Macaca fascicularis: one gene and its partners. Each later gene encodes a partner of the first gene's protein in a complex. Links are inferred from orthologs where the notes say so. Each region holds a gene or a part of one and is shown in the gene's direction. Other genes may lie near its edges.

Region 1 (3,652 bases):
TATCCTGCCTCAACCTCCCGAGTAGCTGGACTACAGGTGCCCGCCACCTCGCCCGGCTAGTTTTTTTTTTGTATTTTTTTAGTAGAGACGGGGTTTCACCGTGTTAGCCAGGATGGTCTCGATCTCCTGACCTCGTGATCCGCCCATCTTGGCCTCCCAAAGTGCTGGGATTACAGGCTTGAGCCACCGCGCCCGGCCTGATTTTTCAACTTTGCAATGAAGTGAAAGCAATATGCATTCAGTAGAAGCCATACTTCAGTATTGCATTCAACAAATTACATGTGGTATTAAACCTTTTATTACAAACAGGCTTCTTGTTAGATGATTTTGTGGAATTGTAGGCTAATATAAGTGTTCTGAGCACATTTAAGGTGGTCTAGACTAAACTATGATGTTTATTAAGTTAGATGTATTAAACCCATTTTAGACTTATGGTATTTTCAATTTAATGATGGTTTTATCAGGATATAACCCCATTGTAAGCTGAGGAGCATCTGTATATATAACGTACATAAGCATATAAAGGATTCTGTATATATGTATATATTTTAATACGTATTTATATATGTATCACATATATATTTATATGTACATATGTGTTTATAAAATTTAATTTATGTTTTTGTATGTTTTATAATATACTCACTACCTTTATAATTATTATGTATATATATTGCCAAGTATTATTCTTATGTATCTATTTACATAGATTGTCTAATTTTATCCTCTCACCAACACTATAAAGTAGCTCCTATTATTATCCACACTTTACAGATGAAGAAACTCAGACCAGGTTAGGTCATTTTCCTAAGAGCACCCAACAAGTAAGTGACAGAGACAGAATGTGCCAGAGCCTTCACTCTCAGCATCTCGCAGTAGTTCATGATTATCGTTTATGAATAAATTATTATATATCTAATGAAGGTGGTATATATGCATGTATGTGTGTGTGTATGTGTGTGTGTGTGTGTGTACAATGAGGGTGCTCTTCCAAAAATGTTTGGAGACCACTATAATAAAGTAAGCCAATAGTTCTCAACAGGAACAGTTTTGCTCTGTTCCCCCCAAGACACACACCAGAGACAGTTGGCAATGTAAATATCCTACGATTAACAAGACAGCCCCCCACAACAAAGAATTATACAGTCCCAAATATCAACAGTGCTGAAATTGACAAACCCTGAAACAAGTTAATGATTCCTGGAGTGGTAACATCTTTGTAAATAAGCAAACATTAATGACTTGGCCTGGAAACAGATGCTGCCACCATGAGTGAGGAGCTAAGGCAAGAGTCTCTGCATATTTCTGTCCTGTGTCTCAGCTGGTGTCTTAGTCCATTTGTGCTGCTATAACAAAATACCCGAGGCTGGATAATTTATAAAGAACAGAAATTTATTTTCTCAAAGTTCTGGAGGCTGGCAAGTCCAAGATCAAGACACCAACAGGTTTGGTTGTCTAGCAAAGGCTGCGTCTTCTGGGTGGGAGAAATTCTGTGTTTTCACATGGTGGAAAGAAAAAGGGCAGGCTCATCGAATACTGTGTGATGACTCTTTTCCAAAGCCCTTAACTCATTCATAAGGGATGATCCTTTATGTCTTAATCATCTTTATAAGGCTCCACTTCTTAATGCTATCACATTGGCAACATCTGAATTTTGGAGAGGATACATTCAAACTATAGCAACTGGGTATACACAGACATTGGCTCCACAACCCTGAGCATCTTCCATGTGCACCCTGTCACTGTGAAGACTGAATTCCCATTTGGGTTTTGACATATTGTTTACCACAGATTCTCCAAGTCTTAAAGGAACCTTGTAGCAAATACAGATTAAGGAAACATCACCATAAGAATTGTTGCTCCAGAAAAAGTGGTTTTGAAATGCCACTTCTGCAATTTAAAAGCAAAACAAAAATGCTTTGATAAAAATAAAACTCAGGAAAAATCTATATTATATAAACTGCTTTACTGTTTTGTTATTTAAAAAACAAAGCACAGTTTTTTTAAATCAGTAATTTATGTGTTAAAAATTAATTATTTTGCTTTACCAAACTGATCTCCATAGGATTATTAAATTGGAGTGCCCACCTTTCTTAATATCCTCTATGCCCATCATCCATCTAGTGAATTTCAAATCTGATTTGCTTTTTAAAAATAAATTTAATTAACCACTTTCATGAAAAATACCTGTTGTTCAAACTGAAGCCTCCTAGAATGGTAGCAGAAAAACAGCATGTGACTATATACACATACGCACGCACACACGCACACACACACGCACACACACGCACACACACACGCACACACACTAGCTCTAGGCTTGATTTGATGCCTTATTATGCTACCAAAGTATTGCTGCATTTTAGTCAAAAATTGTTACATCTCTTAGTAATTCTCCCAAAGGAGTGGAAGTATATTAGGGTGAAGAGAAAAAGTCAAACATAGAACAGAGAGAAAAACAGTGAGACACTACTCATCCATCAATGCCTGACTCAAATACTGCAGCCCTAACCCTTACCCTGTTCTTCTACTCCACCTTCCTTCTTTGTTCTCATTAGGACACTTGTGCCTCTTTCATGACACTCATCATACCCTGTTCGACATATGGGATTATTTATATTTATACTTCAAAGTCTCCCTTTCTAGATTGTAAATTGCTTGAGAGAGATCCAGTTTATTTATCTTTGTATACCTTTCAGCATCCAGCAGGGTGCCTTGGTTAGAATAGTTTGTGAAGGATGTAAATACATTGCATGTGCTTTTACAGCATGTCTCTTTTTTTCTGAATTCATGTCCTTTCCTGTAGGCCAATCACTTTGCTGTGCACCATGATGAGGAGAAAGATGTGATCACAGGCCTGAAACAAAAGACTTTGTATGGACGGCCCAACTGGGATAATGAATTCAAGACAATTGCGAGTCAACACCCTAAGTAAGGAGTCTGTCACCAAGATGTTTTTGAAGCTTGCATCTGCCTAAAGCAGCAGCCCCCATACATATCTAAACTTGTATATTTTAGAAACTCAAATATGTATATTACTATATAAAGGTTGAATTCATGCCCAACAAAAGATTCCAGATATCTTCAACTTTAAGAAGGAATCTTTAAATTATACCAAATTACCTGGAGAGTTATTAAAAACAAAGATTTCCAGGTCCCCATCTCAGACTTCCTCAACCTGCCTGTCCCAAGTAGGGTCACAACTTGGTTCTTTTCTTTAGTCTCCTAAATTTCATTAGTGTATCTGCTTCTTTTAAAGATTCAATACAATTTATACATATTGTTAAGGAGACACTGTCCCCACTTTTAGTTACAGCTTCTGGGTCTAAAATCTTAAGTTGACAGATGTCTCAAGGTGCTTTCTGCTCTCACTAAAACTTTAGTCATTATAAAACCTTGAGGGGGATCACTTATCTTGCTAGAACACCTGAGAAACTCAAGAGATCACCATACAGGTACCCTGTAGACTATTGCTTTTGGCACTGTAAGGAGCATACAAAGTACCTGGGGATCTCTTTAAAATGCAGATACCGATTTAGAAGATTTGGGGTAGGGCCAGGTAATCTGCATTTTTAAAAAAGCTGACGCCAAGGCTACTGATCGGAAACCACACTTTGAACAGGGCTTTAGACTCTAAAAATTAGAGAAATGA
Region 2 (3,652 bases), on another chromosome or scaffold:
AGAGGTCTCAGTGGACCTGGTCAGGAGACAAGGCACAGGGCCTGTGTGAGTGACCACAGCAGGAAAAGTGAGAGTGATTCGCTAGCCCTCAGGGGCAGGCGGTGAGGGCATTCCTGGAGGCACAGCTGTGGCCTGGGGCAGTGAGCGCTGGTCGTGGTCACTGGTTTCTGGTTTCTTACTCACTGGCTGTGTGGCCTTGGGCCAGTCACTGCATCTCTCTGAGCCCAGTTTTCTCTACCACAGCGTGGGTAGCCAGCACCTTCCTCGCGGGGATGTGTGTAGCAAGAACTGGCTTGTGAACCTCCCCTACTCCAAGCTTGGAGCCCTGGGATGGCCCTCCCAGCATTCTTTGGGCTTCCCTGTCTCTGATGTTTATCAGGCCCCTCACCCCATGTCTGGACTCCTGCTAGCTGTGGGGGCAGGATCAGACTTGTACTCCTTGGTGGCCCCAGTGCTGGCTCTGCACCCGATGCATAGTAGGTGCCCAGCAAATGCATCTGGAGGCTCGTTCGATGGCCCTGCAGGGCTCTCTGGGTCTGGCAGGAGACGCTGGGAGTCAAGGTCAGTGCCCCACGCTATCTCCTTGGCAGCACATATCTTTCTACCATGTGCCATGGCCCTTCCCATGGCCCGTGACTGACAGCTTTCACACACACTCTGGGGTGGGCTGAAAGGTCCCAGAAGCAGCCCTCTTTCCCTGGAAGGTGGGAGACGAATGACAGCACCCTAGCTTCCTGCCTCCTCTGGGGACGCCCTGAGCACAGTCCATTCTATCTCCCAGGCGGCCCCAGCAGGACTGAGCAGCAGTGGTCCACAGCCATGACAGCTCAACCACCTGCCCTGTGCCAGCTGCTGTCCCCTCCTTTATTCCTCCCCACTCCCCTTCTGCGGCGTCCTGGGGTCACTTCCCAAATAAACCCCTCATACCACCTCCTTGTCTCAGGGTTTGCTTCTGCGGGGACCCAGCCTGAGAGGGGATGAACATTCATTCAACAAATATTGAAGCTGGGCGCGGTGGCTCACGCCTGTAATCCCAGCACTTTGAGAGGCTGAGGTGGGCAAATCACTTAAGTTCAGGAGTTCAAGACCAGCCTGGTCAACATGGTGAAACCCTGTTTCTATTAAAAATACAAAAATTAGCTGGGCATGATGGTACATGCCTGTAATCTCAGCTACTTGGGAGGCTGAGGCAGGAGAATCACTTGAACCCAGGAAGCAGAGGTTGCAGTGAGCTGAGATGACACCACTCACTCCAGCCTGGGCGACAGAATGAGACTCCATTTCAAAAAACAAAAACAAAAACAAAAACAAAAAAATAAACATGGAGTGACAGCATAGGGAGAGAGTTAAGTTTATTCATATCAAGACTTGGAGGAAAATTTACACAGCCTCAATTACCTTTCCAAAGGACAGGTACAAGTAGGAAAAGGATTCAGAGATAATCTTTATTTCTTCTTGTTTAGTTGTATTACATTTTTTAAAAATATAATGAATCAGTCACGAAACAGATAAAGAAACCTAATTGCAAATGCTGTGTGACTTTGGGCCAGTTGCAGACTGTCTCTGGGTCTCAGCCTCCGAGGAATGCCATGGAGCTGGACCACAGTCCCCAGGTTCTGGGGTTTGAGACTGACCTGACCTCTGCCTTGACTGCTCCCCACAGGTTTGACAACTATTCAGCCAATGTGATGGTGGACAGCAAGCCGGTGAACCTGGGGCTGTGGGACACTGCTGGGCAGGAGGACTACGACCGTCTCCGGCCACTCTCCTACCCACAGACGGTGCGCTGCTCCCCCGCGCCTTGCAGTCCTGACCTTTGCTGTCTCCATTCCCTCTGCTTGGAATGCCCTTCCAGTCAGCTCAGCCTGGGAAACCCTTCCTCTCCCCTGAAGGCCCAGCTCAGGGAGTCTGCCTGCCTTGCATGTCCCAGGCAGAGCAGGGCCTCCTCCTGCACTCCCCCAGCCCTGTGTTTGTTCCCGGTCCTCAATGTGCCTGTTTTCCCACCCCACTGCCTGCTGGGCTCTGGCACCCCCTATTTCCAGTGGTGGGGCAGGTGGAGTCTGCACAGGGCCCCAGGTTGGTGAGCCCTGGGAGTGCTGGGGGAGGGGAGAGGTGGAGGATGCCTGCAGGTGGCTGCTGGGTCCTTGCTCTTCCTCCAGGGTGTGCAGGGAGGCGGCTAAGGCCTGCAGATGTGGATGGTATATGGATTGGAGTATGGACTCCGGAATCCCAGATCCGCCCCTCACCAGAGTGCACGCTGGCAAACCCTTTAACCTCTGGAAGCCTCACTTTCCCCATCAGAGGAATGGGGCTAGCAGCAGTGCTTGCTGCAGGGTGACATGTGAGGATAACCACTTTGCAGAGGCCCTGACCTTTAGTAAGCATCCCAACAAACAGCAGCCTCGTGGTAAAGGCGAGAAGGGTATCTCTGCTCTGCCCAGATCCTAAGTCCCCAGCGTCCCCTGGGCTGTTCCACCCTCAGGGAGCCCCAAGCTCCACCTCTCAGTGACTGCCATGGTGGGACACCTCTGGGCCCTCCTCAGTGGCAACCCTCGCTTGCTCTGTCCCCAGGACGTCTTCCTCATCTGCTTCTCCCTCGTCAGCCCAGCCTCCTATGAGAACGTCCGTGCCAAGGTGAGTTGGACAGGGTGGGCCTTGGGGGCTCTGGGGAAGGTAACCCTGAGGGACAGAGGGAGGAACTGGTGACTCTAGACTGGTCCCTGGGGCAGCAGAGGCCGCATACAGAGAGGGTCCCCAGTGCCAACCAGGGCTGGCAGGGGGACTGAGGGGGTAATATTTGGAGGGTCTGGAGTGGGGGTGCAGCGATAGTTAGCTATACCCCCACTTTCCGTGGCTGCGTCCTCCTCCTCCCTACACAACCTCATGTTCGCCTCCGATTGTCACATAACCTCATGTTTGCTTCTTATGTGTGCACAAAACCTCGCCTCCTCCTTTTCTACAATCATGCGCCCCCTCCTTCCTGTACAACCTCGTGGCCTCCCTTCCCTGTGCCACCTCATGTCTCTCTTCACCCTCATGCCCACGTCTGATCTTCTAGCAACTGGGTGCCCCTCCTTTCCCTACACCCTTTTACCCCCTCTGATCCCTGCACAGCCTCATGCCCGCTCTTGACCCATACAACCTTGTGTCCCCCCACCCACCTGCCCAGTGGTTCCCGGAAGTGCGGCACCACTGCCCCAGCACACCCATCATCCTGGTGGGCACCAAGCTGGACCTGCGGGACGACAAGGACACCATCGAGAAACTGAAGGAGAAGAAGCTGGCTCCCATCACCTACCCGCAGGGCCTGGCACTGGCCAAGGAGATTGGTACGGGCCTCAGACTCAGAGAGGGGAACTGGCTGCAGGGGAGCCCTGACTTGGCCTCGTGGTGTGTAAACATGGGCTGCAGGGCCAGGCTGTGCAGTTCGAACTTAGCTGTGCTGTGCACTTGCTGTGTGATCTTGGGCGAGTCACGTAGCCTGTCTCTGCCTGTGTTTCCTTATCAGAAAAGCAGGGGCTAGTGATAGCTCCTGCCTGCTGGGGTGGTTGGGGGAATTCAGTGAGTTATTCCAGGTGGAGCTCCCAGGGCGGCACCTGTGTGTGGGAAGCACTCTGTGTTAGCTAGTAGTCGTCCTAGTAGTATTAGTAGT
Region 3 (3,652 bases), on another chromosome or scaffold:
GTGGATCAGGAAGCATCTGACCAAGCCACTGGTACCTAGTAGACACGCTCTGCGTCCGACAAGTCCTTCCCAGCAACATCCAGAAAGCAAAGTGCAGGCTTTGTTCCAAGGTCGTCTAAATGTTTCCCTGTGTTTCCTTTTTGTAGGATGTGTTCTTAATTTGCTTTTCCCTTGTGAGTCCTGCATCATTTGAAAATGTCCGTGCAAAGGTAGGTGGGGATTTAAAGTATGTGAGTTATAGAATGACACTCTCAGAAATAAATACTTTATAAAGTATAATAATAATAAATAAATTTTAAAAAAAAGAAATAAATACTTTAAAATATCACTTAGCCTAGGAATTTTCAGTTATTTAAATTGGTTTTAGGAATTTGCTACTTAAGTACATGATTGGGTTTTTTATTCTTTTGAGACAGGGGTCTCACCCTGTTGTCCAGGCTGGAGTGTGGTGGTGACATCGGAGCTCACTGTAGCCTTGAGCTCCTGGGCTCAAACAGTTCTCCTGCAGTTCTCCTGCCTCCGTTCCTGTGTTGCTGGGACAGTAAATGTGCGCCGCTGTGCCTGGCTAATCTTTAAAAATTTTTTGTAGCGCTGGTTTTGTACACCCTGGCTGGTCTCAAACTCCTGGGCTGAAGTGATCCTTCCACTTCAGCCTCCCAAAGTGCTGGGATTATGGGTGTGAGCCACTGCGCCTGAGCCATCAGCAGTTTATTTTTATTTATTTATTTTTGAGATGGAGTCTTGCACTGTCACCCAGGCTGGAGTGCAGTGGCACGATCTTGGCTCACTGCAACCTCCACCTCCCGGTTCAAGCGATTCTCCTGTCTCAGCCTCCTGAGTAGCTGGGATTACAGGCGCCCACCACCACACCTGGCTAATTTTTGTACTTTTAGTAGAGACGGGGTTTCACCATGTTTCCCAGACTGGTCTCAAACCGCTGGCCTCAAGTGACCCACCCACCTCAAACTCCCAAAGTGCTGGGATTTCAGATGTGAGCCACTGTGCCTGGCCTAATATGTGGATTTTTAAAGCTTCAGGTTCTGGTTCAGAAGTTTCCTGGACCTCATTAAAATAATGAGGCACTCAGAATTGGTCTAATAAAACTAACCACCATTTCTTTCTACTCCAGTCTCTTTCACAAACTTCTTAGTGAAAATGACGAGACAGGCCCTTCAGTAGGGACATTTTCAGTGGGGATAATGGCGGCAGACCTGAGACCTTGGGCTAGGTAGTTTATTCTCGTTTCTGAACAGATGATGAATTTTCTCAGATGACCCTAAGAACTTGTTTTACCAAAAACAAAGTGGTTTATTTGCTTTGGGAGGAACTCTCTTCCCTTCCGCCTCTTCCCTTGCGGTTGTAGAGCCCATTCTCTCTGGTCGTGGTTCTGTCCGGCCATGATCCGGAGTCCTAGCTTGCTCATGGAAAACCTGAGATGTTTCTTATGGCTCAAGGCTCAGATTGAAGGTGGGAACCACATGAAGGCTCGGTGGGGAGGCTGTGCCTGAGGTTAGGTGTCTGGCACAAGTGCCGCCGGCTGGGTGTGATTTAGGTGAAAGGCGTCTGTAAAGGAGCACATCACAACCTCTGTTCCTTCTTCACATCTAGTGGTATCCTGAGGTGCGGCACCACTGTCCCAACACTCCCATCATCCTAGTGGGAACTAAACTTGATCTTAGGGATGATAAAGACACGATCGAGAAACTGAAGGAGAAGAAGCTGACTCCCATCACCTATCCACAGGGTCTAGCCATGGCTAAGGAGATTGGTATGGAATCCTGCGTTTTTCCTCTGCCTTGTACCTCTTTTATTGTAGTGACAGAGACTGGAGTCCAGTCTGGGAAAGGAGGGTGTGTGTCTCCCACTCAGGGCCTGGTTGTACTCTTGGGGAACCAGCTGGCATCGCCTTCTGGGTCTTAATGTCAGCGTTGGAAGGTGGACGCAGGGCTGGGAGCCGGCAGAAAGTGCCCAGGCCCCCGGAGCTGCCTCCCGCCGGTGTTGTGATCAGAAGAGAGTGGGCTCAAGTGTACACTGCTGTGTGGTCGTGTTTTCCTGTAGGTGCTGTGAAATACCTGGAGTGCTCGGCGCTCACACAGCGAGGCCTCAAGACAGTGTTTGACGAAGCGATCCGAGCAGTCCTCTGCCCACCTCCCGTGAAGAAGAGGAAGAGAAAATGCCTGCTGTTGTAAACGTCTGAGCCCCTCGTTCTTGGTCCTGTCCCTTGGAACCTTTGTACGCTTTGCTCAAAAAAAAAAAAAAAAACGGTGGAGCCTTCGCACTCAATGCCAACTTTTTGTTACAGATTGATTTTTCCATAAAACCATTTTGAACCAATCAGTAATTTGAAGGTTTTTGTTTGTTCTAAATGTAAGAGTTCAGACTCACATTCTATTAAAATTTAGCCCTAAAATGACAAACCTTCTTAAAGCCTTATTTTTCAAAAGCCCACCCTATTCTTGCTCAGATTCAAAGTTGCCAAAATACCTTCTGAACTATACTGCATTGTTGTGCTAAGAACACCAAGCACTAAACTGTGTAAGGACCTTCGTCTTTGAGAAGACTGTAGCCTCTGCAGTTAGGAGATGCAGACACTTGCTCAGTAGTTCTCAGATGTGTAAAGCAGAACAGCCTCCCGAATGGTGCGTTGCCATTGAACTCACCAGTGATTTAGCGGCCCATGTTCACGACATAACATTGTACTGTAATGGAGTGAGTGTAACAGCTCAGCTCTTTGGATCAGTCTTTTTGATTTCATAGTGAGTTTTCTGACCAGCTCTTGCGGAGATTTTGAACAGAACTCGTGTTTCCTCTAATGAAGAATTCTGTTTAGCTGTGGGTGTGCCGGGTGGGGTGTGTGTGATCAAAGGACAAAGACAGTATTTTGACAAAATACGAAGTGGAGATTTACACTACATTGTACAAGGAACAAAAGTGTCACGGGTAAAAACTCTAAAAGGTTAATTTCTGTCAAATGCAGTAGATGATGAAAGAAAGGTTGGTATTATCAGGAAATGTGTTCTTAAGCTTTTCCTTTCTCTTACACCTGCCATCCCTCCCCAAATTGGGCATTTAATTCATCTTTAAACTGGTCGTTCCCTTAGTCGCTAACTTAGTAAGTGCTTTTCTTATAGGACCCCTTCTTACTGAGCAATATGCCTCCTTGTATTATAAAATCTTTCTGATAATGCATTAGAAGGTTTTTTTGTAGATGAGTAAAAGTGCTTTCCATGTTACTTTATTCAAAGCTAATAAGTGCTTTCCTTAGTTTTCTAGTAACTAGGTGTAAAAATCATGTGTTGCAGCTTTATAGTTTTTAAAATATTTTAGATAATTCTTAAACTATGAACCTTCTTAACATCACTGTCTTGCCAGATTACTGACACTGTCACTTGACCAATACTGACCCTCTTTACCTCGCCCACGCAGACACACGCCTCCTGTAGTCGCTTTGCCTAATGATGTTCCTTTGGGTCTGTGAGGTTCTGTAAACTGTGCTAGTGCTGACAATGTTCTGTACAACTTAACTCACCGGCAAGAATACAACGCGGAACCTTTCAGCCACGACAACAGGATTTTTTAAATTGACAGTTGCAGAATTGTGGAGTGTTTTTACATTGATCTTTTGCTAATGCAGTTAGCATTATGTTTTGCA

What was found. The genes of interacting proteins can lie anywhere in the genome.
Region 2: CYBB (region 1) and RAC2 share a complex: the UniProt entries of both Homo sapiens proteins name them as parts of the phagocyte NADPH oxidase complex. The link is inferred for Macaca fascicularis from reciprocal best matches to the Homo sapiens genes CYBB and RAC2.
Region 3: CYBB (region 1) and RAC1 share a complex: the UniProt entries of both Homo sapiens proteins name them as parts of the phagocyte NADPH oxidase complex. The link is inferred for Macaca fascicularis from reciprocal best matches to the Homo sapiens genes CYBB and RAC1.

What each region holds. Positions count from the first base shown.
Region 1 is NC_088395.1:37,738,605-37,742,256, forward strand, and holds part of CYBB (NADPH oxidase 2), read left to right. Parts: intron 1-2,806; coding exon 2,807-2,931; intron 2,932-3,652. UniProt on the Homo sapiens protein: Catalytic subunit of the phagocyte NADPH oxidase complex that mediates the transfer of electrons from cytosolic NADPH to O2 to produce the superoxide anion (O2(-)).
Region 2 is NC_088384.1:14,440,526-14,444,177, forward strand, and holds part of RAC2 (ras-related C3 botulinum toxin substrate 2), read left to right. Parts: intron 1-1,663; coding exon 1,664-1,781; intron 1,782-2,571; coding exon 2,572-2,634; intron 2,635-3,169; coding exon 3,170-3,329; intron 3,330-3,652. UniProt on the Homo sapiens protein: Plasma membrane-associated small GTPase which cycles between an active GTP-bound and inactive GDP-bound state.
Region 3 is NC_088377.1:45,964,042-45,967,693, reverse strand, and holds part of RAC1 (ras-related C3 botulinum toxin substrate 1), read left to right. Parts: intron 1-146; coding exon 147-209; intron 210-1,608; coding exon 1,609-1,768; intron 1,769-2,058; coding exon 2,059-2,189; 3' UTR 2,190-3,652. UniProt on the Homo sapiens protein: Plasma membrane-associated small GTPase which cycles between active GTP-bound and inactive GDP-bound states.